4 linked regions of the Struthio camelus genome follow. The protein of the gene in region 1 purifies or fractionates together with the protein of each later gene. This does not show direct contact. Links are inferred from orthologs where the notes say so. Each region holds a gene or a part of one and is shown on either strand. Other genes may lie near its edges. The genes, in order: SYMPK, CPSF4, CPSF2 and CPEB1.

Evidence for each region.
Region 2: the proteins of SYMPK (region 1) and CPSF4 purify together in Homo sapiens (affinity purification with mass spectrometry; 4 studies listed by BioGRID and IntAct, counting the BioPlex papers as one, with this or other methods). This does not show direct contact. The link is inferred for Struthio camelus from reciprocal best matches to the Homo sapiens genes SYMPK and CPSF4.
Region 3: the proteins of SYMPK (region 1) and CPSF2 purify together in Homo sapiens (co-immunoprecipitation; 8 studies listed by BioGRID and IntAct, with this or other methods). This does not show direct contact. The link is inferred for Struthio camelus from reciprocal best matches to the Homo sapiens genes SYMPK and CPSF2.
Region 4: the proteins of SYMPK (region 1) and CPEB1 purify together in Homo sapiens (affinity purification with mass spectrometry; 3 studies listed by BioGRID and IntAct, counting the BioPlex papers as one, with this or other methods). This does not show direct contact. The link is inferred for Struthio camelus from reciprocal best matches to the Homo sapiens genes SYMPK and CPEB1.

What each region holds. Positions count from the first base shown.
Region 1 is NC_090957.1:1,740,530-1,747,557, reverse strand, and holds the start of SYMPK (symplekin), read right to left. Parts: upstream 3,001-7,028; 5' UTR 2,953-3,000; intron 1,217-2,952; 5' UTR 1,199-1,216; coding exon 1,091-1,198; intron 1-1,090. UniProt on the Homo sapiens protein: Scaffold protein that functions as a component of a multimolecular complex involved in histone mRNA 3'-end processing. Specific component of the tight junction (TJ) plaque, but might not be an exclusively junctional component. May have a house-keeping rule.
Region 2 is NC_090956.1:4,548,466-4,555,569, reverse strand, and holds the start of CPSF4 (cleavage and polyadenylation specificity factor subunit 4), read left to right. Parts: upstream 1-4,090; 5' UTR 4,091-4,247; coding exon of another isoform or gene 4,248-4,254; coding exon 4,255-4,357; coding exon of another isoform or gene 4,358-4,652; intron 4,653-5,327; coding exon 5,328-5,378; intron 5,379-5,876; coding exon 5,877-6,029; intron 6,030-6,821; coding exon 6,822-6,917; intron 6,918-7,069; coding exon 7,070-7,104. Other genes in the region: PTCD1 (pentatricopeptide repeat-containing protein 1, mitochondrial), read right to left, coding at 200-316, 564-1,328, 1,733-1,834, 2,476-2,694, 2,902-3,042, 3,536-3,888, 4,248-4,652. UniProt on the Homo sapiens protein: Component of the cleavage and polyadenylation specificity factor (CPSF) complex that play a key role in pre-mRNA 3'-end formation, recognizing the AAUAAA signal sequence and interacting with poly(A) polymerase and other factors to bring about cleavage and poly(A) addition.
Region 3 is NC_090946.1:65,729,640-65,737,158, reverse strand, and holds the start of CPSF2 (cleavage and polyadenylation specificity factor subunit 2), read right to left. Parts: upstream 3,014-7,519; 5' UTR 2,897-3,013; exon of another isoform or gene 2,823-2,896; intron 2,208-2,822; 5' UTR 2,171-2,207; coding exon 2,022-2,170; intron 537-2,021; coding exon 377-536; intron 286-376; coding exon 180-285; intron 1-179. Other genes in the region: ATXN3 (ataxin-3), read left to right, coding at 7,283-7,306. UniProt on the Homo sapiens protein: Component of the cleavage and polyadenylation specificity factor (CPSF) complex that play a key role in pre-mRNA 3'-end formation, recognizing the AAUAAA signal sequence and interacting with poly(A) polymerase and other factors to bring about cleavage and poly(A) addition.
Region 4 is NC_090953.1:25,267,578-25,274,590, reverse strand, and holds the start of CPEB1 (cytoplasmic polyadenylation element-binding protein 1), read right to left. Parts: upstream 3,014-7,013; 5' UTR 2,588-3,013; coding exon 2,348-2,587; intron 1,667-2,347; coding exon 1,489-1,666; intron 1-1,488.

The sequences.
Region 1 (7,028 bases):
TCCCCATGAGGACCCCATGGCCTCGTGCCAGGTCTCCATGAGGACGTCACAGCTGGGTCCCCGCGAGGACCCCACGGCCCCGTGCCAGGTCCCCACGAGGACGTCACAGCTGGGTCCCCGGGAGGACCCCACGGCCCCATGCCAGGTCCCCGCAAGGACGTCACAGCCGGATCCCCGCAAGGACCCAACGGCCCTGTGCCGGGTCCCCGTGAGGACATCACAGCTGGATCCCCATGAGGACCCCCATGACGCTGTGCCAGGTCCCCATGAGGACATCACAGCTGGATCCCCGCGAGGACCCAATGGCCCTGTGCCAGGTCCCTGTGAGGACATCACAGCCAGATCCCCGCGAGGACCCAATGGCCCTGTGCCGGGTCCCCGTGAGGACATCACAGCCGGGTCCCCATGAGGACCCCATGACCCTGTGCCAGATCCCCGCGAAGACGCCACGGCCCCGCGCCGGGTCCCCATGAGGACATCACGGCCGGGTTCCCATGAGGACCCCATGACCCTGTGCCAGGTCCCCACGAGGACGTCACAGTCAGATCCCCGCGAGGACCCAATGGCCCTGTGCCAGGTCCCCGTGAGGACATCACAGCTGGATCCCCGCGAGGACCCAATGGCCCTGTGCCAGGTCCCCGTGAGGACATCACAGCCGGATCCCCATGAGGACCCAACAGCCCCGTGCCAGGTCCCCGCGAAGACGCCACGGCCCCGCGCCGGGTCCCCGTGAGGACATCACGGCCGGGTTCCCATGAGGACCCCATGACCCTGTGCCAGGTCCCCGCGCGGACATCACAGCCGGGTGCCCGCGAGGACCAATGGCCCTGTTCCAGGTCCCCGTGAGGACATCACAGCCGGATCCCCATGAGGACCCAACAGCCCCGAGCCAGGTCCCCGCGCGGACGTCACAGCCGAGTGCCCGCGAGGACCAATGGCCCTGTGCCGGGTCCCCACGAGGACCCTAGAGCCCCACGCCAGGTCCCCATGAGGACAACGTAGCCAGATCCCCGCGAGGACATCACAGCTGGATCCCCGCGAGGACCCCGCGCGGACGTCGCAGGCGGGGGCCCGCCGCTGCCGCACGCACCCGCTCCGAGGTGCTCATGCTGTCGATGCCGCCGCACTCCTCCTCGGCGAAGAACTGCGAGGCCACGCTCATGCGGGCGTTGGGGCCGTCGGCGCTCGAGCCCGCCATGGCGCCGCGGCCTCCTCGCTGCCGGGCGAGCGGGCGTCAGCACCGCTCCCCCGCCAGCCATACTGCCCCCCTCGCCAGCCATACGTGACCCCTTTTCCCTCCCCGCAGTGGCACCCTGACCCCCCCCGCAGTGAACCCCCCCGAGGCACACAGGGCCCCTCTGCCAGCTTCACTGTGCACCCCCTGGCCCCTATAGGCACCCTAGGTTTAACCCCCAGTACCCCTTATCCTATAGGGTCTCCCCCACTCCCTACAGCCCAGGCACACAAGGCCCCCCCCACCAGCCCCCTACACAGCTCAAGGGCACCCTATATGCCTCTCCCTTATTACTGCCAATCCAGGCCCTTACACAGCACCTCTCCGCACCTATCCTGGTCCCTATAGAGTCCTGGGACACCCTATATGCCTCTCCCTTATTACTGCCAATTCAGACCCTTACACAGCACCTCTCCACACCTATCCTGGTCCCTATAGAGTCCTGGGACACCCTATATGCCTCCTCCCTATTACTGCCAATCCAGGCCCCTACACAGCACCTCTCCGCACCTATCCTGGTCCCTATAGAGGGCCCTGCCACCACATACCCCCTCCAACACTCACGCTCTATATTTCAGCACGCTCCTGGTCCCTAAATAGCCTCCTGTCTCCCCCCTACCCAAGCCCAGGACCCTATAGAGCACCATGCCTCTGTAGTGTCTATAGACTCTTACACGGTTTCCTTCCCCCTATAGAGCCCGTTTCCCACACAGCTCCTGGCCATACGGGGCCTCCCACCCTCACACACTGCCCAGGATCCTATAGAGCCTCTTGCCCACGTACTCCTGCCCCTATAGAGCTTCCTGCTTCCCCATACTTCACCCCATTGTGCTTCCCCCAGACCCTATAGAGCCCTATTTCCCACACACCCCTTTTCCCTACAAACCTTCCCACCCCCACACGCTGCCCAGGGCCCTATAGAGCCTCTTGCCCACATATCCCCACCCCTGTAGGCACCTGCAGCTCCTCCAGCCCCTTATAGGGCCTTCAGCTCTTTTTACCAATCCCCCAGGCCCCTATAGAGCCCCACTCCCCACACACATCCTGTCCCTACAGACCCTCCTGCCCCCAAACACTGACCAGCACCCTATAGAGATGCCTCCCCTACACTCCCTCACTCCTATAGGGCCCCATTTCTCAAGCATCCCACGTCCATATAGAGTCCCCAGCCCCCCACACGCTGCCCAGGGCCATATAGAGCCTCTTCCCCACCTGCCCTCACCCCTATAGGAGCCTATAGGTGCCCCAGGCCTATTGAGCCTCCACCCCTGCCTACAGGGCATCATCTCCCACGCATTCCATGCCCACATAGTGCCTCCAGCCTCCACACAAGGCCCAGGGCCCTATGGAGCCCCTCCCACAAATACCACCATCCCTATAGGGGCCCATATAGGTCTCCCGCAGCCCTATAGGGCCTCCACCCCCCTACAGAGCCCCATCTCCCATACATTCCTCGGCCCGGCCGACGCCCCTGCCCTCCCCCACGGCCCTATAGATCCCTCCCCGCCATACCCACACCCCTATAGGAGCCTATAGCCCCCCCGCCACAGCCCTATAGGGCCTCCACCCCGCTAGCGAGCCCCGGCTCCCACTCACCCCGTAGCCCCACGGAGCCTCCCGCTCCCATACATTGCCCAAGGCCCGACCCACCTCCCCCCCCTCCCGACGCCCCTATGGGCCCCTATAGGGCCCCTATAGGCGCCCCCAGCCCCCCTCACCGCCGCCCGCGCGCTCGGCGGCCTCGGCGCGCTCCGCGCACGCGCCGTGACGTCAGGCGGCGGCGCCAGGGGCGCGCTGCCCGCTGGGAGCTGTAGGCCGGGAGGCGTGGTCTGGGGAGGCCACGCCCCCTCCCCCGCTCCGCTTCCGCCGCCCGCCGTGGTGGGGGGGGGGAGGGGGAGGGGGCGCCGCGCGCACGCGCGGGAGGGGCGGGGGTGCGCGTGCAGGTGGGGCGCATGCGCGTGGGGGGGCGCCGTGCGCGTGGGACACGGGGATCCCGCGTGGGTGTGCGGACACGGGGGGTGCGCGTGGGTGTGCGGACACCGGGCTCCCGCGTGGGTGTGCGAACGCGAAGACGGGGGGTCCCGTGCACGTGGGTGTGCAAGCACCGGGATCCCACGTGCACATCGCTGTGCACCCCCCCCCACCCTGGATCCGCCACCAGTGTCACGAGTGTGTCAGGTCTCAGTCAGAGGGGAACAACCTCCCCCCCCCAGCTCCTCCACCAGTGCCACGAGTGTGCCAGGTCTCAGTCAGAGGGGACCTCCCCCCCCACGCACACACACACAGCCCCGGCTCCTCCACTGGTGCCACGAGTGTGCCAGGTCTCAGCCAAGGGGAACAACCCCCCCCTCCAAGCTCCTCCACTGGTGCCACGAGTGTGCCAGGTCTCTGCCCCCCCTGCCCTGGCTCCTCCACCAGTGCCACGAGTGGGCCAGGTCTCTGCCCCCCTGCCCTGGCTCCTCCACCAGTGCCACGAGTGGGCCAGGTCTCAGGTCTCAGTCAGAGGGGAACAACCCCCCCCCCAGCTCCACCACCAGTGCCACAAGTGTGCCAGGTCTCAGGTCTCAGTCAGGGGGGAACAACCCCCCCCCCAAGCTCCACCACCAGTGCCACAAGTGTGCCAGGTCTCAGGTCTCAGTCAGGGGGGAACAACCCCCCCCCCAGCTCCACCACCTGTGCCACAAGTGTGCCAGGTCTCAGGTCTCAGTCAGGGGGGAACAACCCCCCCCCAGCTCCGCCACCAGTGCCACGAGTGTGCCAGGTCTCAGGTCTCAGTCAGGGGGGAACAACCCCCCCCCCCAGCTCCACCACCAGTGCCACAAGTGTGCCAGGTCTCAGGTCTCAGTCAGAGGGGAACAACCCCCCCCCCAGCTCCACCACCAGTGCCACAAGTGTGCCAGGTCTCAGGTCTCAGTCAGAGGGGAACAACCCCCCCCCCCAAGCTCCGCCACCTGTGCCACGAGTCTGCTGGGTCTCAGCCAGGGAACCCCCCCCACACCGCCACCACCCCGGGGTGCCCTGCGGGAAAGGGTGCTGCCTCGGATGCCTAGGTCCTCCCTTGGGTGGGGGGGGGTGGGGGCAGCCCGGACGCCTGGGCTCCCTGCAGAGTGGAGCGACCCCCACCCACCACCCCCAAAACGGGCAGCTCCGGAGGCCACGTTGGCACCCGGAGCCGCCCGGACGCCTGGGTCCCTTGGCTGGGCCCCCCGCGCCCTGTGGGGGGGGGGGTCACCCCGAGGCCTGGCTGCCCTGCGTGGGGGGGGGGGGGCCTGCTGGGAAACTTCGTCAGCAGCAGCTCATAAACAAGGCCCCGCGGCCCCCGCTGCCGGCCAGCGCCCCCCCCCCGCGCCCGCCGGGCCACGTGGCACCCCGGGGTGCTGCTTCCCCTCCGCCCGGACGCCTGGGCCCCTTCCCCGGGGGGGGGCAGGTGGTTCTCCCCTATATTGGGGTGCTGGGGGGGGGTCCGAGTGCAGGGTGCACGGTGCTGCACGTCCCCCCCCCAGCATCCACTGCCCCCCTCCCACCCGGACGCCTGGGCCCCTTCATAGCGGGTGCATTAGGGGGGTGCCCACATGCTGCACCCCCTAATTTTGGGGTGTGTGGGGGGGTCCGAGGGCAGGGTGCATGGTGCTGCACGACCCCCCCCAGCACCCACTGCCCCCCACCCCTCCAGGACGCCTGGGCCCCTTCATAGCGGGTGCATTAGGGGGGTGCCCACATGCTGCACCCCCTAATTTTGGGGTGTGTGGGGGGGTCCGAGGGCAGGGTGCATGGTGCTGCACGACCCCCCCCAGCACCCACTGCCCCCCACCCCTCCAGGACGCCTGGGCCCCTTCATAGTGGGTGCATTAGGGGGTGCCCGCAGGCTGCACCCCCTAATTTTGGGGTGCTGGGGGGGAAGCACCCAGGGCGGCCGGTGCCCCCCCCCCAGCACCCACGGGGCGGCAGAGCCTGGCGCCGGGCACAGGCAGGGCTTTATGCCGCCACCGGCGCCGTGGGCCCCGTGCCCGCGCCGCGCACAAAGGGCCGAGTGTTGGGGGCGGCGGGGGGCCGGCGGCGGGGTGCGGGGACACGCGTGTGCGTCGGGGCGTGCGGGGACACGCGTGTGCGTCGGGGGTGCAGGGACACACGTGTGCATCGGGGCGTGCGGGGACACGCGTGTGCGTCGGGGGTGCAGGGACACGCGTGTGCATCGGGGCGTGCGGGGACAGGGACACGTGTGTGCGTCGGGGTGCAGGGACACGTGTGTGCATCGGGGCGTGCGGGGACACGCGTGTGCAGCAGGGGTGCGGGGACACGCGTGTGCATCGGGGCGTGCGGGGACACGCGTGTGCAGCAGGGGTGCGGGGACACGTGTGTGGGTCGGGGTGCAGGGACACACGTGTGCGTCGGGGGTGCGGGGACACGCGTATGCATCAGAGGTGGTGGGGACATGTGTGTGTGCGTCGGGGCGTGCAGGGACACGCGTGTGCATCAGGGGTGCGGGGACACGCGTGTGCATCGGGGCGTGCGGGGACACGCGTGTGCATCAGGGGTGCGGGGACACGCGTGTGCAGCGGGGGGGTGCAGGGACACGCGTGTGCATCAGGGGTGCGGGGACACGCGTGTGCATCGGGGCGTGCGGGGACACGCGTGTGCATCAGGGGTGCGGGGACACGCGTGTGCATCGGGGCGTGCGGGGACACGCGTGTGCATCAGAGGGGGTGGGGACATGTGTGTGTGCGTCGGGGCGTGCAGGGACACGCGTGTGCATCGGGGTGCAGGGACACGTGTGTGCGTCGGGGGTGCGGGGACACGCGTGTGCATCAGAGGGGGTGGGGACATGTGTGTGTGCATCGGGGCGTGCAGGGACACGCGTGTGCATCAGGGGTGCGGGGACACGCGTGTGCGTCAGGGGGGTGCGGGGACACGCGTGTGCAGCGGGGGGGTGCGGGGACACGCGTGTGCAGCGGGGGGGTGCGGGGACACGCGTGTGCATCGGGGCGTGCGGGGACATGTGTGTGTGTCGGGGTGCAGGGACACGCGTGTGCAGCGGGGGGGGTGCGGGGACACACGTGTGCAGCGGGGGGGGGCTGCCACCCTGGGGTGCCCCACGTCCCTATCCCCCCCACCCCGTGGCCCCAACGTCCCTGCGTGGCCGTGCACGGCCCCCTCCATCCCCCCCCCAGCGCGTGTCCCCCACCCATGGGTGCCAGCCCAGCCCGGGGCCACGGGTGACACCGGGTGCAGGGAGGAGGCGGCTGCGGGGGCCGATATTAAAAAGCTCTTTAATCCCCGGGGGGGGGGGTGGAGGAAGGGCACGAGGAAGAGGAGGGTGACACGTGTGCGGGGTGACACCCAGGGCCACCCTGGCACCCCCAAACCCTCCCCCCCCCACAGTCTAGGGTGGCGGAGGCTCAGTCTGCCCTGGCCCACTCGGGGGCCCCAGGTCCATCTTGGAGACCCCTGGGTGCCACCGTCAGGCTCAGGGCGCCCGGGTCCACCTCGGGGAGCCCTCTGGGTGCCACCGGCAGGCTCAGGGCGCCCGGGTCCACCTCGGGGAGCCCTCTGGGTGCCACCGGCAGGCTCAGGGCGCCCGGGTCCACCTCGGGGAGCCCTCTGGGTGCCACCGGCAGGCTCAGGGCGCCCGGGTCCACCTCGGGGAGCCCTCTGGGTGCCACCGGCAGGCTCAGGGCGCCCGGGTCCACCTCGGGGAGCCCTCTGGGTGCCACTGGCAGGCTCAGGGCGCCCGGGTCCACCTCGGCATCCCCAGGTCGATGCGGATGTCCCCAGGGTGCCCTTGTCCGGCTTGAGG
Region 2 (7,104 bases), on another chromosome or scaffold:
ACTGTTCTAGTGCAGGCACGGGACAGACCAGCTGAGCTCTCAGTCAGTTATTCAAGAGTTACATGTTCTTGGGAGTGAAAACACTCGCTGACCACATAAAACACAGCAAGTCTTTTTATAAGTTTAACAGTTCACTTGCTTTGCCTTCCTGAAGTTTGAACCTAAGTGTGTTTTGTTTTTGTTTTTGTTTTTTTTTTACCGTCAAATCTGAGAGTAACTGCAGTCCATCCTTCTCTCGGTGGCAAGCAATTGCTAAGTTACAAAACGTCTGGAGGTTAGGCGATATTCCTCTCTTCGCTAGAGCTGGCAGCAGGCCCTGCAAGAGGCAAGTGCTGACATCAGTTTCCAAAAAGTCTTACTGTAGCTTTCCAGGCAGAGCTGGAGATGCTAAAACAGAATCCATAAATATTCAGAAAGTACCATTTTCCACAAACCAGTCCTCAGGTTAAAGATTCCCAATTTATATTGCGGATACAGAAATGCGTCTCACAGTAAAACGCAGGTAACACTGGAGGCCCGAGACAATAAGGTGGCAGTAGAGCCAATTTGGGGTTTTTTCTCACCTTTGCTCCTTCAAGGTCTCCCTGTTTACTTTTCTTTCTTATTAAAGTGTTAAAGAAAGTCACATCTACTTTCACTTTATGCTCATTGAGGATTGCCAACAGAGAGGACTCTGATGGGCTTTGGGGTTCCACCAGCTCAGCCAGTAATGTGAAAGTTTTAATGTTGGGTTCTGCGTCATCCTCTTTCATTTTATTCAAGAAGCCCTCCACATCCCCCATCAAAACCAGTCTATCAGATGGTGTGGCTACTGTCCCCAAGGAAACCGTGGCCACATCGGGCATCTTGGAATCCAGTAAGTTAGGCAGGTTGCAGAAATGCAGGTTCTGGCTTTGGCTTGCTTGTTCCTGCTCTGTCTCAGTCTGGTCTGTCCTCATCAACGCTCCAGTCCCGCTGTGAGCTATGTTAGCACTGGCAAGACCAGCCAGTATTGGTTCTGTTTCAGCCCAATTCACATCTGTGTTTTGTTGCTTGATCTGTTGTGCAGGCTGCACAGAGTTCTCCTGAAACAGTTGCTTTTCCATGGCTTCCACATCCAGCTGGACAGCAGCTGCACTCTCTGATCCCTTCTTCCTCTGACTTCTCGCCTTTTGTTTCTGCCTACTGGGTGCAAGCCTTAGCTGAGATGAATTCTCTTCAGTGGGTCCTAGCAGTACTTGAGAAGCCAAAACTGGATCGCCTATTCCACAGTCTCTTGCAGCACGGAGCATCAGATTGTAAGTGTGGCTATCGGCCTTTATCCCAAGTCTAGTCATTTGTTTCCAAACCTGAAGAGGGGAAGATGAACATAAGGTACATGTGATATTAAACAACAGGAGCATTTCTAGCAGGATGTAAGCCTATCTTAGTATATCTACAGTGCCGGCTGTTAATCATATCCACCTGCTGAAAGGGAGTAAGTTTACAGCGTGATGCGATGTCATTAGACTTTGAATAGACACCTAGAGCTAGTACAGTCCTATGAGATCATCCAGAACAGTTTTACAGGTGTTTGCACTATGAGATATCCTGATGGAAGTCTAGTTTACAGAACTTGTCTTGGGAGGAGCTGAGCTCCTCCTGTTTTCATCAGCTCTGAGCAGCCTGCTGCCTTCTGCAGGCTCAAGTGACGAGTTACAACAACAGATGCAACGTCATGTTTTTCCTTCCCACTGAGTACACGAAGACAGACCTGCAAGGCATAGCGGAAGCCATTGTCTTTGTCCTTTATGCAGCCCATGAGAAGGAAGCTGAAGGTTTCAGCTGTGACAACGTGACCCTTGTGCACAATTTCCTAAAAGAGGAGAGAGAGCATTAAACTTCCCATTCACCCCTACAGTCTGCCACAGCTGGCTGCGAAGCACAAAGTACTGCCGCTGCCTTCTGGGGACAGAGCAACGACAAAGCACAGGGCAGACTCCAAGTACCGGGAGCAGAATGATAGCTGCAGGAGGAAAAAAGTCCTGACAGTACCTGCATAGATCCTAGTTTCTCCCTTATGGGAGCTACGGAGAACTTGGGGGCAGGAATCCTTTTGGGTACTGCCGGACTGGCCCCTCTGAGAAGAGGTGCTTTAAGAGCCATAAAAGAAGCTAGCTATCAATATATGCGTTCTCAAAAGGAGGGAAGGAGATAGAGGAGATGTGAACCCCCGCAAATACTCTGTTCAACAAATTGTTGACAGATCAGAACAGACGTTTAAAGCCAAACGACGTTTAAGCCTGCAGCTGCCTCTTTTTATCTACTTAAACTTTACCTGATATGTATCAGCACTATTTTGTTGTATAAAAATCAAAAGTCAATACAAAAATATGACTACTTGTTCTAAAATGACCTGAGCTTAAAATGAAATAGAGAAATCTACGCAATATGGCAGCTTCTAGGAGTTTTAAATAGAGTAGACTACGCTTAATACAAGAAAAGTCACATATTTACCTTCAGTACATCAAAGCACATCCTGAGATCTGAGCACAAGGCGCACACTTTCAGCAGAGCATGGTAAGTTATCAGGTTCAGCTCTTGATTTTTGCTCTTTAGTTGCTGCCGTAACTTGAGAGCACTCTGCAGACCTGAGTCCTTCCATGGTGATTCAGCACAGGCATTGAACAGGGCTGTGTAAGTGGCATCAGTGGGGAGTAAGCCTCGTTTTTTCATCTAAAGGGAGGAAAAAAAGAAATGGAACTGGCTTTTTAGGAAAAGAGTTCCAGAATTTCATAGTTTGCTTTTAAGATTTTCAGGGTAACAACATGTAAACATTGACTCAAAGGCATTTTGGAGTCAGAGACTCACGACCAAATGCTTGAAACCAGTTTTGGCTAAAAACGTAATGAAAGTTTTAATGAGGAGAGGACGTAAACCTACATCATTGTAGAGCCTGAATGCCTTTTTCACGTAGCCAACCCTGCCACAGCCACCTATTAGAACCGTGTAGTTGCTTTCTTCTGGCTGGACACGTTCTTCCTTCAGCATCTGCACCTCAAACAGCTCCAGAGCCTCTGCCAGCTGCAGGAAGGAGAGAAATCCATGATGAAGCAGCAACAGAATCAGTTATAATGGGTGTTAATAGACTGTGGTAGAAGTCCTAGAGAGCACAGGGTTCCTCGCATTCCTTATTTTACTTCTCTTCTGTAAAGACATACAGTGACCACACAGGACAATACACATGGGACAGCGTTGGAGGTGTTTGGAGTGAGAAGCCGCAGCACACTTGATATCAAACCCAGGACTGCCACGGGGGGTGACAGACTGGCTGAACGGAGGAGGAGATGAGGAGTGGTTGAATTTGTAGAGGAACTAATTGCACACCCTCAGAACTGACTAGTTAACTTGATTCTTATTTTCGGAGGGGAAACAGGCATAGGAAAGACCAGTGCCGTAGTCCAGGTTTTGCAAACGGAATCCTCTTTTAGCTCCTGGCCCAGCAAGTCTACAACACCGTGCTGCCTCTCTATCATCAAACGCTCTTTAACAAACAAGCAAAGAACTGGGAACAAACCTTGTCCTGTTTAATGAGGGCCTTGCATTTTAAGAAGTACCAGTACGGTGTGTTCTTGGGCCCACGCCGAGGTTTCCCTTCTTCTTCCTCCTCCCCCTCTTCTCGAAGCCGTAAATTCTGAAAGTGCGACGTGGTTTTGTGATAATGCTTTCTGGAAGAAAATTTACTAGATAGCGTCCCAAAATCCACGTCCGCCTCCTCGTCCGCGTCACGGGCGGCTTCAGCGGCGCCGCCGGGACCGAGCTGGGCCGGGTCCCCGCCGCGCAGCGCGCAGGCCGCCGGCGACGAGCCGAGCGGCCTCAGGGCCGCCGGCAGCGGCCGCCCCCGGCTCGGGGGCCGCAGCAGGCCGGGCGCTGCCCGCGGCGGGGCGAGGGGGGCCCGGGGCGGCCCGCGGGCCACCAGCCGCAGCAGCAGCAGCCTCATGGCGGCCCGTCGCCGCCGGGCGGGGAGGGGGTGGGGGGGGGCAGGAGGCCTCCCGCCGCCGTCGCTAGGCGACCGCCACCCCGCTCGGCGCCGCGCGCGCCAAACGGCGCCTGCGCGGGCGGAAGGGGCGTGGCGGCGCGGCGCCATTGGCGGAGGCGCGCGGCCTGCCGGGAGGCGGGGGGTCAGAGGTGACTCCCGGCATCCCGCGGCCGCCGATCGCCACACGCCGCCGCAGCGGGCCGCGCCGGGCCCCCCCCCCCCTTCCGCCTCCTTCCGCGCCCCTTCCCACCGCCATCATGCAGGAGCTCATCGCCAGCGTGGACCACATCAAGTTCGACCTGGAGCTGGCCGTGGAGCAGCAGCTGGGCGCGCAGCCGCTGCCCTTCCCCGGCATGGACAGTGCGTGCGGCCGCCGCTCCCGGGGCGGGCACCGGGGCCTGCGGGCTGTCCCCTCCGCTCCCCGCCCCGCCGGCGGGTCCTGCCCCGGGGATGGGGCCCGGCCGGAGCTCCTGCCGGCAGCGGCCCGGGGGGCCCGGCTTTGCCTGAAGCCCCGGGCGGGGGCTGCCGGGGGCCTGAGCCCCTCTGCCGGCTCTTATTGCATCGAGCCAACTTCTGCTGTCCCTTATGAGAGCTTCGGTCTCAACCCAGATGTTTTTCTTTCCTTCCTTGGTGCCATAGTTAGTGCCAGACCAGGCTAGAAAGTGAAGGTGGAGGCATCATTCTGAATAAACTTGACTTTTCTCCACAGCACTTCAGTTTCTTTGTTCCCCTTCCACGGATGAGGTGTTTTAAGGACCAGGAAGATCTCATCTTGGAGTGTATCTGTGGCCTGTGCTCTAAGCTTTCTCCTACAGTCTAGTAATCTGGTACAAGTAGTCTAGGGAGACTTACAGATTGTTAAAATTTTTCTGGCTAGACTACTAAACTAATATTTTAATGCCCTTAAATCATCTGATCCCTGTAGGTCAGGATCAGCAAGGGACAGCATCCTAATGCTCGTCTCAGTCCTTTTTGGTCAAAACAATATAAGACTTCAGTTTTCCTGGCTGTAAAGACTGGTTTCACCAACGTGATTGATTTAATAGCAGAGGAAAGCCTGGTCAACAAAACCTGGTTCTCCGAAAGGCTAAATAGGCACCACCAAGCTCCTGTAAATCCTGTTGGTGTACGTTTTACCAAAAAGTTTACAGATATTGGTGAGGGCCAGACTTGAACAAGGAACTCGCACTGGAAAGTAAACTCCCCAAACCAAAACACTGCTCTTTTCATGTTGAGAACCGGGTTGTCTCTGTAGGGAAGGAAATATTTTAAAAATTGCTGCAAATTCTCATAAAAATTAATAGTGTTTCTTTGGCTATTTTCTCCACAGAATCAGGTGCTGCTGTCTGTGAATTTTTTTTAAAAGCGGCCTGTGGAAAAGGCAAGTACTATTCCCAATACAATTATACTTTTACAGATGGGAGGGGAAAGGGAAACTAGATTCCTTAGCACATCGCTGTGTAGAATGCTCATGGTATATTGTAAAAATGGGGAATAACTGAGATGGAATTAGCTGCCACAATTGTGAAGTAAGGGTATTTTTTAGAAGAAGTGGGGGTGAATAAGCAAGGCTACCTGCAAAGACAGGTTTGAACTGATTGCAAGCGGTCCTTGCTCTGCACATGCCTTGTTAGTAGCTGTGGGTCATGGCTGCCCGGATTAAGAGCTGGAGCTTGCACTGCTCTGCTCATTAGAGAGTAAAAGAAGACTCTTATCAAGAACTCCCTGTTCTGCCATTGCCACTTACAGAAAAAGTGAAGTCTTCTGAAAACTCTTCTTGCAGAGGGGAGTCAAGTGTTGCTGCTGTCTTGTGCATAGCTTCTTGTGCTGCAGATTTTAAATATTCTTTTTTCTTTTTCCTTGCCCTATTGTTCTGCAGGTGGCATGTGCCCGTTCCGACACATAAGTGGGGAAAAGACAGTTGTTTGCAAGCACTGGCTACGTGGACTGTGCAAAAAGGGAGACCAGTGCGAGTTTCTGCACGAGTATGACATGACCAAGATGCCTGAGTGTTACTTCTACTCCAAATTTGGTAAGGGGCATTGTAGCTCCTACTTGACGTTCCTTGCTAGCGTGGGAATCTGATGGTGCAGAGGATCTTGATACATCCTTCTCACCCTGTCTCATCCATCTTCAAAACATTACAGCTCTTCTGTGTCTGCTGATACTGTTAGGTTGTAATTTGTCAGATCTGCTTAGCCCCTCACCTTATTTTACCCCCTAAATTCTTCATATGTTGTAGATGTGTCCTCTCTCAAGAGCTTGCCCCTTGGGGGAAGAGGGGGGAAGTTCAAGTCTTCGCTGGGTTTTGTACCTAATGTTCTGTTTTGGGTATGAGATGAGTAGGCTGAGTAGGTGGTCTTTGCATGACTTTTATTTTGGGAAGTTGATGAGCAGCAGAGGGTATGGGGGTGCAAAACTTTTATGCACTTGCTTTCCAGCTCTGGAGATCTGGACATAATGAGGCAACTTGCTGTCAGAAACTTACAGTCTTGTAGGTTTCCTTGGATTGAGGTTAGTGTGCAATTTGTAGTTTCTCCACACTTTTGGTGCACTAAATGTTTAGTTTTCGTTATCATGACTGCTCTTTCGAATTCAGTTTCCGCATTGTTTTAAAAGCACACGTAAATAATCCAGTCTGGTAGACTTTTACTCACCTAGGGTGAGTCTTGGTGTTTATCATCTAGGTCAAGGCAGGTTGTGCCTGAACTCATAAATGTTGGTAACAGCTTTGTGGGAGCTACATGATTCAGGTAATGTTTTGGGAGTGCTTTGATCTTGTGCCTGCACCGTTTGCTAAGAAGCGTATTTGCCTTTGGTACAGGGGAATGCAGTAACAAAGAATGTCCGTTCTTGCACATTGACCCGGAGTCTAAGATCAAAGACTGTCCCTGGTATGACAGAGGCTTCTGTAAGCATGGTATGTATGTCACACAGTTGCTGCTTCTGTGCCTATAAAGCAAGGGTAGGGTGATGCTATTTTTCCTTTGCAAGATCTGCCTGTGTACCTGCTGTTAGTGAGTGTTGGGTTACACGTATATGAAGTGTGAACTATTGAGCTTTGTGTTGCAGGTCCCCTCTGCAGACACCGACACACTCGAAGAGTC
Region 3 (7,519 bases), on another chromosome or scaffold:
CAAATACAATTACTGAGACAGATGTTCTGTGATACAGAGCAACAAAGCCCTACCGTGTTGGGCTGTGGTCCAGGCTGAGAAATACACAAAGACCTACTCCTTTCTAAAAGGTTACCTTCATTTGTAGCGAAAGGCAACAGAGCCATTAAAAATAATTTAGTGAAACAGAACAACTTTACCTTTCAAGTTCACAATCTGAGAAAATTTCAGCTGCTGTATTTTGTCAAAGGCTGCATCTACGTCATCCAACGTAAAGAGAGTGAAGTCTTCTGTATTATGGCGGGACTAAAAGAAATAAGAAGTAAAGAACGTTCAAGAACCTGAGCACTCTACCATATCAGAGATTTTGTGTATGAAAGTATCAATTTAAATATACCTGATAGAGATCATACATAAACATCTGTCCCATTTTATATACAGGAATAGTTGCATAAATGGCACAATTTAAGCCCATTTTCCCAACTGCATATGGAAGAGCACCAAGATGTAGAGGGTCAGGATGAGAAAGAAGAACAGCATCAACCTGGTGTACATGCCTACAAAAAAGGGACAACAGAAGGAGCTGGTGAAAACACGGTCTGCATTGTATTCTATACTCCCTATTACAGTTGTTTTGGGAAAAAGTACACAATCTGAATGGCAAATGAGAAAATAAATCCCTCCAGGTCTAGAATGAAATGTTTAAAAGCAATTTAAAAAAATACAAATATTTCCAGACATTCAAGCAACATAAGAACTTAAATACCGAAAAAAGTAACTTTAAGGCCAGGTCACACAAGAGCTCTTGAAAGTTTCACATTCAATTCTTCATGTGCTTTCTGGTGTTTACATATCAACTGAAGGGCCAAAAATGTTTTCAGTACAAAGACACATCATAAACTGTTTACACATCAAAAACAGGTTACACATTAACCCAAAATGGACTGCAGCTGACATTCAGATCAGCAAGACCACGTAAGAGGACTCAAAGCTCAACAACACTTAAACTGATAGAGATGAAATCATAGTGTTTCTTTAAAAACAGAAAAGGTCAAAGTTATCTTTTAAAATTATCCATTTTTTTTTTTGGAGTATATAAGGTGACTCTTTTTGCCAGGTGTTTTGTAAAGTAAGAGTTCAAAATAAAAACTTACTGTCTAGCATGATCGAAAAACATGAAGCCTTGAAAGAGATGCCACGAGGGAAAACACAAGCTGGGCTGACAGACTCAGAAGTCTAGCTTTTTGTTCCCTTGGCTAGCAACGGAAGCACACACTTTTTTTTTTTTTGACGGTATTCTTCTTAAAAAGGAGATTTTTGTTTAATTGCTTCTCAGGTAAGGCATTTAACAAAACTTTAGAAGCTATCCTTAATACAGGATATTGCTCAGCTAAAAGACTTCAAATATTACAAGTATGTTAATACTGAAAAAGTAAATCTATAAAGATAGCATCACAAGGCTTAGTTTTTTTCAGGAATTTCCATGTTTCAGGCCTAACTCTGAAATCAATGCGCGCATGAGGAAAGCTCCTCACTGTAAACCTACAGATGTTCAGTACAAAACACTTGACATGTTTATTTCTTTGCAGGCCCGGGACACTAACAAAAGCTTTTCTCCAGGCTGACGGTCTGTTAAACCTAAAACAGGAGGCAAAAGCCAAACCACTTTATCTTCAGCTTTCATGCAATGAGAATTCTTTTATTTAAACTTAGTTAGCCATCCTGCATCAGTTTAGAGCTAAGCTCAGTCTCCCACAGCCTCTGTTCTGTGTTATGTTTATGAAAAAACAAAACACCCAAATCAAAACAAAAAAACAGAAGAAGTCTGAGAACTAGAGTTACTAGATTTGACTCACTGACTCACAAGGAAAAGATTACTTTTTACTGGAAGTGTTTTATCAGTCATACCTTTCAATTAAAAGATATTTTCAAATAAAAAAGAATGCTTTGGGATTTAACATTATCATACATACAAAACAAAATGACATTTAGAACACTTCTGAAAAGAATAAGATTTTTTTTCAGATGTATGAACTACTTACTTTCTTAGCGAATCAATAATATCCATAGAAAAGTTTTCATCCCAGCCACAGTCCAAGAGAAACCGAAATTCATCTACTTGCAACAGATAGCACAGGGCAGATTCCTCCTGCACCCCTGAAAGCGTCGTTAACTTGATAATCGATGTCATTTTTCTCTCCAAGTGTTCGACCTCCAGAAGAACTATTCTGAATGGGAGAAGGGAATGCTTCACTAGCTAACCCAAAGGAAAAGTCTATTTACATAGAGCCACCTCTAACTTCTTACACTACTGAGAACATGGAGGAGAACGGCTGCTACACACTACCTCAAATAATGCTGCTGGTTATTAGGTATTACCTATCTTTTGATCTACCCCCTTTTAAACATAGGGAAAAGAATACTTTTTATTTGCCCCAAGGGAATTTTTTTAAAAACCTAAAAACAAAAGGGTAGAGCCTTTGCTACCCCTGGAAAAAGCTGCCACCAGAAGCGAGGCAGCCAGCAGCGACGCCCACCTCGGCGGGGACGGCGCGGGGGCAGCCGGGCGGGGCCGCAGGGCCCCCGGGGCCGCAGCCCCTCCAGCCCGGCGGCTCCGGCGGGGCAGCCCGGCGCGGCGCGGGCCGGGGGCGCGGCTCAGCGGCTCCCGCCCGCAGCCGGGCTCCGCCGCCGCCGGGCACCGGCCCGGCCCGTGGGGCGCCGAGGCGGCGCCGAGGCGGCGGCGAGCCCCGGCGGCCCGAGCCCTGCCGGCAACGCGCCGCGGCTCCCCACGGCGAGGACGCGGGCGCGGAGGAAGGGGGCGGCGGGAAACGGGGAAGGAGAACCCGCAGCGAGCGCTGGCGCCGGGCCCCGGCGATGCCCCGGCGATGCCCCTCCGGGCGGCCGCGGCCGCCGCTACCTGCTTCACGGGCCTCGGTCAAGCCCACCGGGGCGCGCGCCCACCGCCTCATCCGGACACGGCGCCATCCGCCATCTTGAGAGGGGCGGGGAGAAAAGAAGGAAGGGCAGTGCGGGGGTGGCGGGCGACACCACCGCCAGGCCGCCGCGGGGGGGGGAGGCGGCTCCTCCCCCGCTCCCCGAGCAGCCGGTGGGCTGCGCCGGCCTGCGCGCTGCGCCCGTTGCCCTTGGTGTGGCCGCTGCTCCGGGCCCGGCGGCAGCGGCAAGCGGTAACGGCTGGGGCTGGCGGCGGGAGGGAGCGGGGCGGGTTGCGTGGTGCCGGCGGGAGCCCTCACCTGCAGCGCCTCGGGGCGCTTCCCTGCGCCGGCGGAGCCTCGAAGGCGGCAGGGGCCCTGCCGCGAGCTGCGGCCCGGCCGGCGTCGCGGCTGGCTGCGGAGCGGCCTGCCTCCCGCCGCCCCGCGGCGCCCTTCGCAGCAGCGGCGGCGTCTGTGGCCGTCCTCGGGGCGGTACGGCTGCCGGGCTGTCTCAGATCGTCCCGCAGGACACTCATGCGGAAGGTTTGGGCTGGTGAGGTTGGAACAGGCTTTGCGGAGTTAACAGATATGTTATCTTGCTTCTCTGTCAATGGCCAAGTGACTGCGAGGCTTGTCTTTGTGACTTTTTACTGATATTAGGGCATCCATCTGCAGGATTTGGTACTGTAAATACATGTGTTATGTTTTGCAGGAGAGCAAATTTCTGTCCTTTTAGATTTGTTTTAATGGGTAAATTATTTTGCTGCTGTGGGTAGATTATTTTGTCACTATTTTGCCAATGATGCCTTAAAAGAGTCTACTCATCTCTAGCTTTAGGATAAGATCCTATTTCCCAGCACCACCGAGCTTTTTTGTAAGAATCCTGTGTTTGGACCTGAGAACAGCATGCACCTTGCATGGAGTGTTTAATGGCCCTCATGTGTTTATTATTCCATAGTAGGATCCTAGTACGTGAGAGTAAAGGCGCTAGGTATGTCGCAGTTGTCGTGTGCAGCTCTATCAGTAACTCTTCTGTGTTACACTTCTCTTTCTAGCAGTCATGGTGAATTTCATGCAAGCTGTGCGTGATCACTGGGTTCACATCCTTGTTCCCCTAGGATTTGTGATTGGATGCTATTTGGACAGAATGAACGATGAAAAATTGTCAGCCTTCAGAAACAAGAGCTTGCTGTATAGAAGGTTTGCTTATGATACCTTTTTAAAATATATATGTTCTGTTATTTTGCAAAGTAGATGTGCTTCTCTGTTCTTTTTGAGAGTCTCAAGTACAAAAAAAAGTCAGTAATGCTGTCAAAATATTAAGAGGAAGAAAGCCCTAAAAATTTCAGTCAACTTTCATTAAGAGTTTTGAGTGACTAATGCCTACTGAAAATCTGTGCTTTAGGGCCCATCTTAGTGCTATAAGTCATGAAAGAAAGTGTGCGCGATTCTGTCCATTTGACCTATTAGTTGAGATAATTGACTTAAAATTTTTTTAAATAAATGTTATTCTTGGAAGCAAGATAAACAAATGCAAGAATTAGTAAACGTTAAGACACTTTCATTTATGTCTAAGTAGACTTATGAAAAGGATGACTAGAAAAATAAATAGAAACCTAAATATGTGCATAAATAAGAAACTCATGTTGCTAGGAAAAAAATCTTCAAATAAAATTTAATCATTTACTTAACCACTATACTTCACCATTTACAGTGTAATTAACATGGCATATTAACACAGTCTTTGCTGCATAGAAATTGTTACTGTTCCTTTTTAAATAAAAGTAACATTGTCTGAAATACTACTAATAAAAAAGAATCTCAAAGGGTTGAAGTAAAAACACCACTTGAAACATTCTGTAAACTGTACTTCTGAAGAGACTGTTTAAGATGGATTTTTCTGTATACTGGGCCCGGAGAAAGTGTATGAAAAGGGGAGGACCTCCAAACCACTCTTCTCCTCCCCCCCTCTTCCCTTAAGTCCTTCTGGAAATGTTTTTGAGTCCTCCTATTTAGCTGCATTTGGATACCGTACCAAGTTCACTTAAATGCACAATACTAGAGCTCTGACAAACTTTACCTAACAAAATAATGTTAAATGTGATAATTGCAGGGGGAGGGAGGGGACAAATTTATAAAACATATTTTAATGTAAAGTAACTTATTAAGCTAGGGAAGTAGTCTGTAGGTATGAATTTCCGTATTCTCCGTGTCCTTGATTTTTCTACAGGTGGGAAAATGCAGCCTCTTGCATTTTTTTGTGTATTGAAAATGGAAAGTGATCTTTTTCAGCTTCCAATTAGTTTTCCATTTTAAGTAACTAAATATTGATTTGATATCAAATAATTTGGAAAAAGAAGGTATTTTTGCATTGGTATAAAAGGCTTTAGCTTTCCAAAGCTTGTTAATCATACTAACTGCTGCCAAGTGCTTAGCCATGAAACTGTGCAAACCTTATCTTGGCTCTGTCTAAAACTTCAGCAGAAGCAAATAGTACTTGGGTTTTCCTTTAATTTTAACCTTTTCAGTGGATTATAGTAAAATTATATCTTAAGTTTAAAAGTATGACATCATATATATACATAGCATGTATACATATATAGCATGTAAATACTTGTATAAATTTGCATCATTTACATAATTATCGTCTTTTTTTAAATTAACCCAGCTTCTGTATTTTGAATGTTTAACGTTTAATGTTAGCAACTGCTGTGTCTTTACTGAGGATATGACTATATACCCATGGTATGGGCTTGCTGGCTTACTGCTCGGGGAGAATTGAGATAACTAAATGTGCTACCTCATCTAGATCAGTTCTCTTAAATCTGTATAAGACTGCAGGGTTAACCAAACAGCAGAAAAAGAATCATGCTGCATAATTACTAATTCTAGTCTATCACAGACTGGAAGAAAAGTAGAAATGTTGGTATATATGGTTTGCAAGTGACTTTTTTTTACTCTGGTGTCCCATGGGCTAATAATTCTGAGTGAGAAAGTAAAGTAACACGCCCACTGCTCACGCCACTGTTATTAGCACTTTTCTCACTGCAGTTAGTGGTTAAATTGCACTGGCCTTTCAGTATGTTGCAAAAGCTTCCTCTGGTTTTGTTTGTTTGTTTGTTTTTCCCCAGTAAAGTAATGATGTTTTTCTATTCAAAAGAAATAAGGCCCTGTTATGCAAAAAGTTTGTTATGTTATTAGAGGTTAGGTGTTCGGTGCCCACGTTTGAACTAATTGAAGCGGACTCAAGCAGCTTTGGAAAGAAAAAGAGAACATTTACCCATATTGAAAGATTCTAAACTGACAACACAACACTTTGAAAGAAAGTCAGATTTATTCATTATAATTAATATATATTTCAGTCAAGGTTTCTATAATAATGAAAGCTTACATCAAGGTTTTCTATAATAATTAAAACTTACATTTTTTAGTAATTATCCTACAGAAATGATCCTAATGTTATTCCCCTGCCTTTCTTTTTCCTTTCCACACAGAGAATTGAAACCTGGTGAAGAAACTACATGGAAATAGAAGCTGCTGATGAAATGGGAAATATTTTCACTTGTTCAATCAACATATATAGCAAGTTAAAAGAACAGGATTACAGTTTTTATTCTTGAGTGAACGTATAAGGCTGCAGAAAGGAACACCTACGATTCATCTCTGCTAGTTTATAATTTTCAGTCCTCCTTTTTGAAAGATAATTACATGACTAGTACAAGTCCTGTTCAGAAACATTTATCCCCGGAAGTCATACTCTGAAAGAGGGAGGAAGACTTATGTAATAAAGAAAAACTATGCAAAAAGCATGTATGTCGTTATTAATTTGTATGGTGTAAAATTCATGTAGTTCATAGAGAGACAATGTTTAAAGGAATATTTAATATAGATCCAAAATGTGGTAGAGAACGTATTTATATATTTTTAATTGAAATCTGAACCGTTTTCTCTTTAGATTTCCTCTTTAGACATGTTTCTTTGGAATGTCAGCAGTGGCAATACTGTAGCTTTGTGATAGTGCAAGAGAACAGGAGAATGAAAAGGATTGACAGGCGGTAAGAGACAGCAGTGAAGCCGACTTCTCTGTGTGATTTCTAAATTTCTAAACCAAGCGAAATACGGGAAAAGCTTTCGAGGGCGCAGGGAGGTCGGGGGGCGGATCCCGGCTTCGTGCCGCCGAGGGCGCAGCAGGGCCTCCCGACCGGCAGGGGGCGCCCTCGTGCAGGCAGCGCTCGCACCGCCCCGCTGCCGGCGGCTACCGTGGGGGTGGGGGCTCCGCGCGGCCGGGCTGCGGCGGGTTGCCCGGTAAAGCGAGGTTTGATTGGCTGGGGCGGGTCACGTGAGGCGGAGGGTGCTGGCCGTTGACAGTAAACATGGAGTCTATCTTCCACGAACGGGTGAGTGAGGGGCTGTGGGAGGGGAGGGTTCCGCTCCGCGCGGAGCTTTACCCACCCGGGGCCGGGGTGGGGGGCAGTCGCGGTGTCGCCGGGCCCGGGGGGTGCTCCCTCCGCGGAACTGTACGGGGTGGCGGGCGGGTCTCCGCTCCCGGCCCCGGCTCCGGGGCGGCCCTCGGGGCGCGCTGCGGCCGGGCCCCCTCTGGCGGCAGGGCT
Region 4 (7,013 bases), on another chromosome or scaffold:
GACAGCATATCCTCCCAGTACTGTTTCACTAGCAACGTTTCAAGAAGTGTTGTATTTAGATCTGTTCCTCGAAGCAAACAATCCACTTCTGGAACTGCTGCAGCACTAGCACAGGATCACATGCCAGGTCAGTCTAGTCCACAGCACTAAGCCCCTCAAATACCCAGAAGATTAAGCTGCACTGGAAATCATCTGGTAGCAGTCATTTCACTAGTCCAGAACAAAGTTACACCATACCAGCCTCAGAGTAAGTCTAATCTGAGGAGTTCAACATAATTGTTACAGCACTGTTCAGAGGAAACCAAAGCAAACAGCAAGACAAGTGAGGCCTTCAGTTTTCAGAGGTCCTACTGCTCTTAAGCACAAAAAAGCATGACTAAGACAGGCAAGCTAGAAAGCTAGTAGTATTAGGCCAGGCAGGAAACCACTACAGCTGGCCAGCTGATCCACAGGCTGCCCAGACACTGGTTTGCAGCTTTTACACCTGTTCAGTTCAGCTACACAAGACAACTCTGTCTCCTAGTGACTGCAAGCAAAGCTCATCTACCTAGAGAAGCCTGCAAAGTTACCAGCTGGGAGGCTTTCCTTTTAGTTCCCACTTGTTTTGGCACAGGTCCAGAGGGCCAGCTTGTTTCCAATAACAGCAACAATGTTTAAAGAAGTAGGGGAGCAAGGGCAAGCATGGCTGTGCAGAACTACTCTAGCAAAAGGAACATCAGGCTCTGGGCAGGTACATTCATCAGATCTTTCCTACGACAAAGGCAAAAAAGCATGTCCTTCCGTTACACAAAATTAAGACTGACCCAGTACTCTTTGCTTGGGCACAGAGCCTCCCGTTTTGATGCAAATCAAGCACAAGAACATGCCCTGTTCCCTCAGAGCCTGTGGGAAGTGACCACCTGCAGCACTAATTCTGGAGTCTCAAGCTCATCTTCGCAAGACAGTCTTCATCTGCACGCACTGCTTGGGTGTACTCTTAAATGCAAGATTTTAACCGATCTCTAGTAAATGTGGTTACTGAAGAGTCTTTTGCATTTGTAAGATATGCAGCAGACCAGCCATCCTAACCACTAACAGATATACCCTGCCTCCAGGGGAGGCACACTATAAAGGAATCTGTGGGAACTGTCTATACCAGGAGCAGTTGGCAGATTATGCATTACATAGGTCAGGCAATAAAAGCTCATCTCCTGCCCCCACCCACCAAGTTACAGCACCACCAGCAACTGAGGGGGTGCAAGAGCAAACACTGCCAGGCACCTCCACGTTGCCACGGAATAGCTCAATTATCCACTTTAGGCACACAGACGAAGCCCCCAGTATCAAGAGAGTGCAAACCCTGACTTCAGGCAGCTCTCTGCTCACAAGGACATGCAACGACTACAGCACTGGGGAGTGCCAAGACATGTTTGGTAGGTCCCATCAGGCAACTCCATTACATCAGCCCTCAAAACTCAAGCTTGCATCAAACTCAGCCAAACACATCACCTGGCAAGATGTCACGTTTGCCTTTTGTGATTGGTGTGGTGCAGACTCCACTGAAATCCAAAGAGTTGTCCAACATGGCATTTATTCTGCGGAATATATCTGCATTGCTGCAAGTGGAGAGGGCAGGGGCATCAGGGCTATCCCAGCAGTCCTTTATGCTCCTCCCAGGGTCTTCTTTCTGGTAGAAGAGAGAGAAGAAACATTAGCGTCTAGCAAGCTAGTATACACCACCCTGCTTTCAGCACATTGTAGGAAGATTCTGGATTGCCTCCAATACATTTCATATTAGCTTTAGCTCCAGGTCCTAGCAACACCCAAGTACAAGTCTTTGCACTAAAGAAACAGTTAAGCAAACAGGTCAGCAATTTGTCAGCATAGCACATCAGACCAGGACCATTCTGGTAACAAGTTGGTACAAGCTCACCAAGGCTAGGATAGACTTGAGATTAAGAGCTGTAGCTCCAAAACTAGGTTGGTAGCTGACACGAGATTGCTACTTCTCTCCAGCATGGTGCCTCTCATTACTAGGTGACAGGCAGAGATCTGGGTAACACAGATGCTTCTCTTCTCCAAAACCCATGTCTCAACACTGAGGGGAGGGGGAGGTCACCACAAGATACCAGTTTTCTCCCACGCACAGTGGCAGAGAGCAACCACCCATGTTTGAGAGCTCTGAACACCTTGGAATGGCCAAAGTCAGCCACCATGCCATCACTTTCGAAAGCAGGCTTCTGGAAGAGTGCGACTTCCCAGCCATTCAAATGTAGCTCAGAAGTCCTGAGGCTTCACTTGGCAAGGCAGAGAACTAAACCCAGACCTTCCCTTTAGTTAGTAGCTCCTTACAGGAGAGGGACATTACCCAGGAACAGCTCTGCTTTATCACAATCCTCCACAGGCACTGATCCATCAGCTTCATGGGGTTTGAGTCCAGCCATCCTATACAGGTCAAAGCTCTCAGTAAAGCTTCTTCTGCATAAGAGCAGCAAAACACTCCTGCTTCTAGTGCCAGGCCAGAGAACTGGCACTCCAGCTGCTTCCCCCAGCTTTGCTTGCAAGCTACTTTCACATCTAGGCTTCTTTCAGTGCAGCTGTACAACATTCAAGCCTCTGCCAATCCACAAGATGCCAAACTTGATCTCTAACCAGCATCTTCAGACCACAGGCAGGTCCTCCCATCACCCAAAAGGCACTGCAGCAGAATCCTGCTCTTGGACATGCTGAGCAAACAGTATCACTCAATTAAGATGCATATTAAAGAGGAGAGCAGGAAGGTACAGCCTCCCCAGTCTTGGCCTCTGGACCAGAATCCTTGCCATTAAGCAAATCTAGTTAGAGCCAGACTCCAAGAACAGAACTGCAGCTAAGCTGACAAACAAGGCCACTGCTACTCCAAGAGGCACAAAAACCTATAGCTTTAGACCGTGGAACATTTGTATTTGTCAGAGTCGTTTAATACATCTCCCTTTTGGATGTATTCTGCAAGAGTTTAGGGCCTGACTTCCCCACATTTCTCTGCCTCATCCACATCTTGACTGCAGTTAGGAGGAAAATGCCTTGCAGCCCAAAACTATTGGCATAAGCTTATGATCAGTAGCAAGCCTGAACCACAGAGCTGGCTTTATTTTAAAGTGATCCCTTAAGTCTTCCTAGTATGCAGCCTGCAACTGGATGCAGAAGGTAAGTCTAAACTGAATTTCACATGGCAACTGGAACTTTAATCCTAGCCCAAGTATGGGACTTGCATTCTCTCCATAACCCTATCTTCATGAGCAGCATTACTGCCATAACATAAAATTCTGCTTTCAAGCAAGTCCTCAACAGGCATGATTTGAGAGTTTCTCCCAAGCATGCAGGCTTCCTTCGCAGTCCGGTAAAAATAAAGGTACCCCTGTCCTAGAAGGGTGCAGCAACAAACTAGTGGATATACAACTCGTGTGATGCCTCCAGACAGGACTTGAGCAACTGATGGAAGGGATTTCAGCCTGACTGTTTAAGACCATCAACATCTATTCAGCGTTGCTGCCTGGGATATTTGTCTATTGAAAGATTCAGCCCACCCTCAGATAAGGTCCCAGAACTCTCAACACAGCACATGAGCATTCACAAGCCAAGAGTAAGCAGGTAGGGCTCAAAGCAAGCCTCAGGCAAGAGCAAACAGGCAGAGCGGACTTTAGGTCATCTTTATAAAAAGCAGCCAAGGAGTACAGAAGCTCAATTTAAGAAAGTATTGCCAGTCATCTTAATAAAAATAAGTGCCGCATCAGGCTGATTTGGCACAAGTGTGAAACTCCATATTCTACTCATGTTACTGCTAAAGAACCTCTTACAGCAGGAGGCAAAGCTTTTTCCTAGGAGTCTGTGCTAGCAAGACAAAAATAAACTCAAGTGGCAAATCAAATGCCTGACCCACTCCTGCTCATTTAGCATTTGATGCTTCCCACAACTGGCAGCACCAGCCCTGCCACAAATAAGAACAACAGAAAACAGCAAGACCATGGCTAATCTTTTCTACAGATTCTCCTTTTACTTAAAAAGCTTTTAACCTTAAGATTATGAAGGATACCCCAGAGATACTGCAGACAACCTGGACTCGGGAGCTGGCATCCCACACCTTGTAGGAAGTGGCTCACATCTCTAGACTCGGTCCTGGTAAAGCTCACCCCTCTCCCCAGACACCCCAAAACAGAGATACTCCTTTGAGAAGAGCTTGGCAGGTCTTCAGAGTGCACAGGGCCAAAACCCCTCAGCAACTTGTACTTTCAAGTGTAAAAGGTTTACAAACATGCAGCTAGAGGACACAGCCATGACTTTTAGTCTCATAAGAGAGTTAACACCAAAGCATAGAGAAGTATCATGTCTGAGGCTGCATCTTCCAGAACCTACTCAACTCTCAGATCCTCAAGCCAAGCCAAAATGCATTCTTGAGCTCAGCTAGAATTAGCTTTCAATGCTCTGTCTTGAAGGATTTTGCTGACCCGAGTCATGCATTGATAGCTGCACATATGCTGCATCTTCAGGCTTCTCTGAAAGTATACTGCCTGGGGTAATTATAGCTACAGCTGGCATTTGAGCAGGTGACCACCTCTGCTTTCATTGTGGCATCAGTGCAAGAGCAGTGGTAGGTCCTCTCTCTCCTGGGGAATCAGCAGTAACCTGGCACATTTTGTTAAACACTAATCAGTGACCCAACAACCAGTCCTGTCTGCTAAAGCATACAATCCCAATTCAGAACAGGAGGCAACATTTTATTGGTGTGGCCAATAGATGAACAACAGCCAATACAGAAGCGTTATCTAGCTGGTAGTCTACTTAAAGCCATCAGAAGTCAAACAGTGCTTCCTAAAGCCTAGTAAGGCACCCAGCCTCTCCGTTGGGAAGCAGAGAGTTTCTAGACACCATTCTAGCTCAGAAAGGTGAGAAAGTTCCGTTCAGTGCAATGCACAGTGGCATGGAATAAACAATTTGCAGGCTTAAAATTAAATAATGGAAGACCTGAAATAGGAACTCAAGCAGCATTGCACAGAACAACATGCAGCAAGGAGAGGCTCAAACAGGAACATGGTCTGCCATCTCAGTTCAGTTTAATCATCAGGCAAGAATCCATGTCCAAGCACAAAGATGCACCTCTAGGTTGCTGCAGACTGAGGCCCCCCAAGGATGGCATTATTAGGCTCCAGTCACCTCTAGCACCACACTCCAAATGAAACAGGGGAAATGCCTGGCTTGATTTGAAATAGGAAGAGGAGTTTGTGCTCCCTCTCAGTAACAGGAAGAGAGCTACAGAGCTCTCGCTTGCTGGCTCTGCATCAGAAAGCTGGCCGCTAAAGTGTTACCCTAGCGGCTCTCAGGTCTCTTGGGAGCTCACGTCTTGTCAGCCCCAAACAAATCCCATGACTGCAGCCTGCAGTTTACCTGCAGAAGCTCCCAGAGGAGACCAACAGTTAATAAACCCATAGCAGTTCAGTCCGTGGAACAAAGTACACCTGTGTAGCAAAAACCACCAAGGATGTCTGAGCATAAGTCGAAATGAAGGCACCTTCACAGCCCTGAAGACTGAGCTACACACATCTGTAGGAGAACTACAGCTTTCAGTCTGGCAGCTAATGAACACCAGGACCATCACAGCAAACCTGGGGCATCACAGCAGCACGACACAAGGAGTATTAGGATGTCCCAATCCACAGGGAAGCCACTAAACACAGCTCAGCTGCCAGTATTGTCAAGATCTACATCAGCTCCTCAGGATGTTTTGGAGCAGACAAGGTTGTCCACTTGTAAAACTGAAGAGTTGCTCATCTTCCACAGAAACCACACTTGAGGCAGAGGCATAGTGATGACTGAAGGGGTTCTCAGCACTGTAGTTAAGGCTACAGCCTTGAATCCTGAGACAAGATTTGAGATGCTGTTGGTGCCAGTCTCAACATAAGTCAGGATAGCTTAATATTTTGATCAAATCAGCTCTGGAAATCCCTTTTTACTGGTGTAGTTTGCTTCCCAAGCTGAAGTCAGCTACATCAAAACAAAGCACGATACCAGCAACTGTTCCTATCAAGCAATACTGCTATTTCAGCTATATTAGCAAACAGATAAAGTTTGCAGGTCCAATTCATCTAACTGAGGCCTGCACTACTTGACCTATCAGCACTCTCAGCATCAGCAGGGCTGAACTTCAGAAGTTTTTCAAGGTTTACTTTGTGTAGAGAGGGCCTTGAACACATCTGGCTAGAACCAAGACTGTTTGGAAGTGATTTCGACAGAATCATTTTACATGGGAGTGCTGACTTCAGAACTACACTGATTTTTGCCAAAATTCCTGTTTTGAAAGAAGCTTCTCTGTTGAAGCACCTTCTCTTTGAGATTTTTGGAACAAGCGTTCTGCAACTATTACCCAAGCAGCTTCTGAACCAAGTGAAATCACAAATGTTTGTTTCAACATGTTATCAAAGCAAAATAACATTTTAATTAGCTTAGGGAGACTGTTCTGGTTGAAATAAACTGCAGCAAAGCCCCAGGATGCTGAAATTCTTCACAAAATGCAGCTTCCATCCACAGCACTAGCTGGAACCACTTAGGAACAGATCAACTGCCAGTGCACATGGTCAGTCTATCCCAAGAACAGCCATAGTGAAAGTTGATTGATTTTAGCTGGGGAATACCAAAGGGTAACAGCAAAGCAGAGAACTTGTTTTTCCAGAAGACTTTCTTGCCTCTGTGTAGTTAACAGAGCACAGAGATTAGGGACCAAGTCTCCTGGGTGCCCAACAGAAGTCTTGCTACAAGAAGCTTCCAGTCTCCTGGTTTAAGGGTAAATAACTGTTCCCTTAGTCTCTCCTTAGAGGGGAAAAACTTTAAGAGCACTTAGAACCACCCCTCCCTAGAAAAGCAACTTCAAAGTGGTAAGCAAGATTAAGGGTTTCCACTTAACTGAAGAAACATACCCTGCAATCATGAATCAGAGCTCAGTAGCTTCAGGTGAGAAAAGCTGCAGCCCCAGTAACCTGGAAAGGCAGCAATCTCTGCTGCAA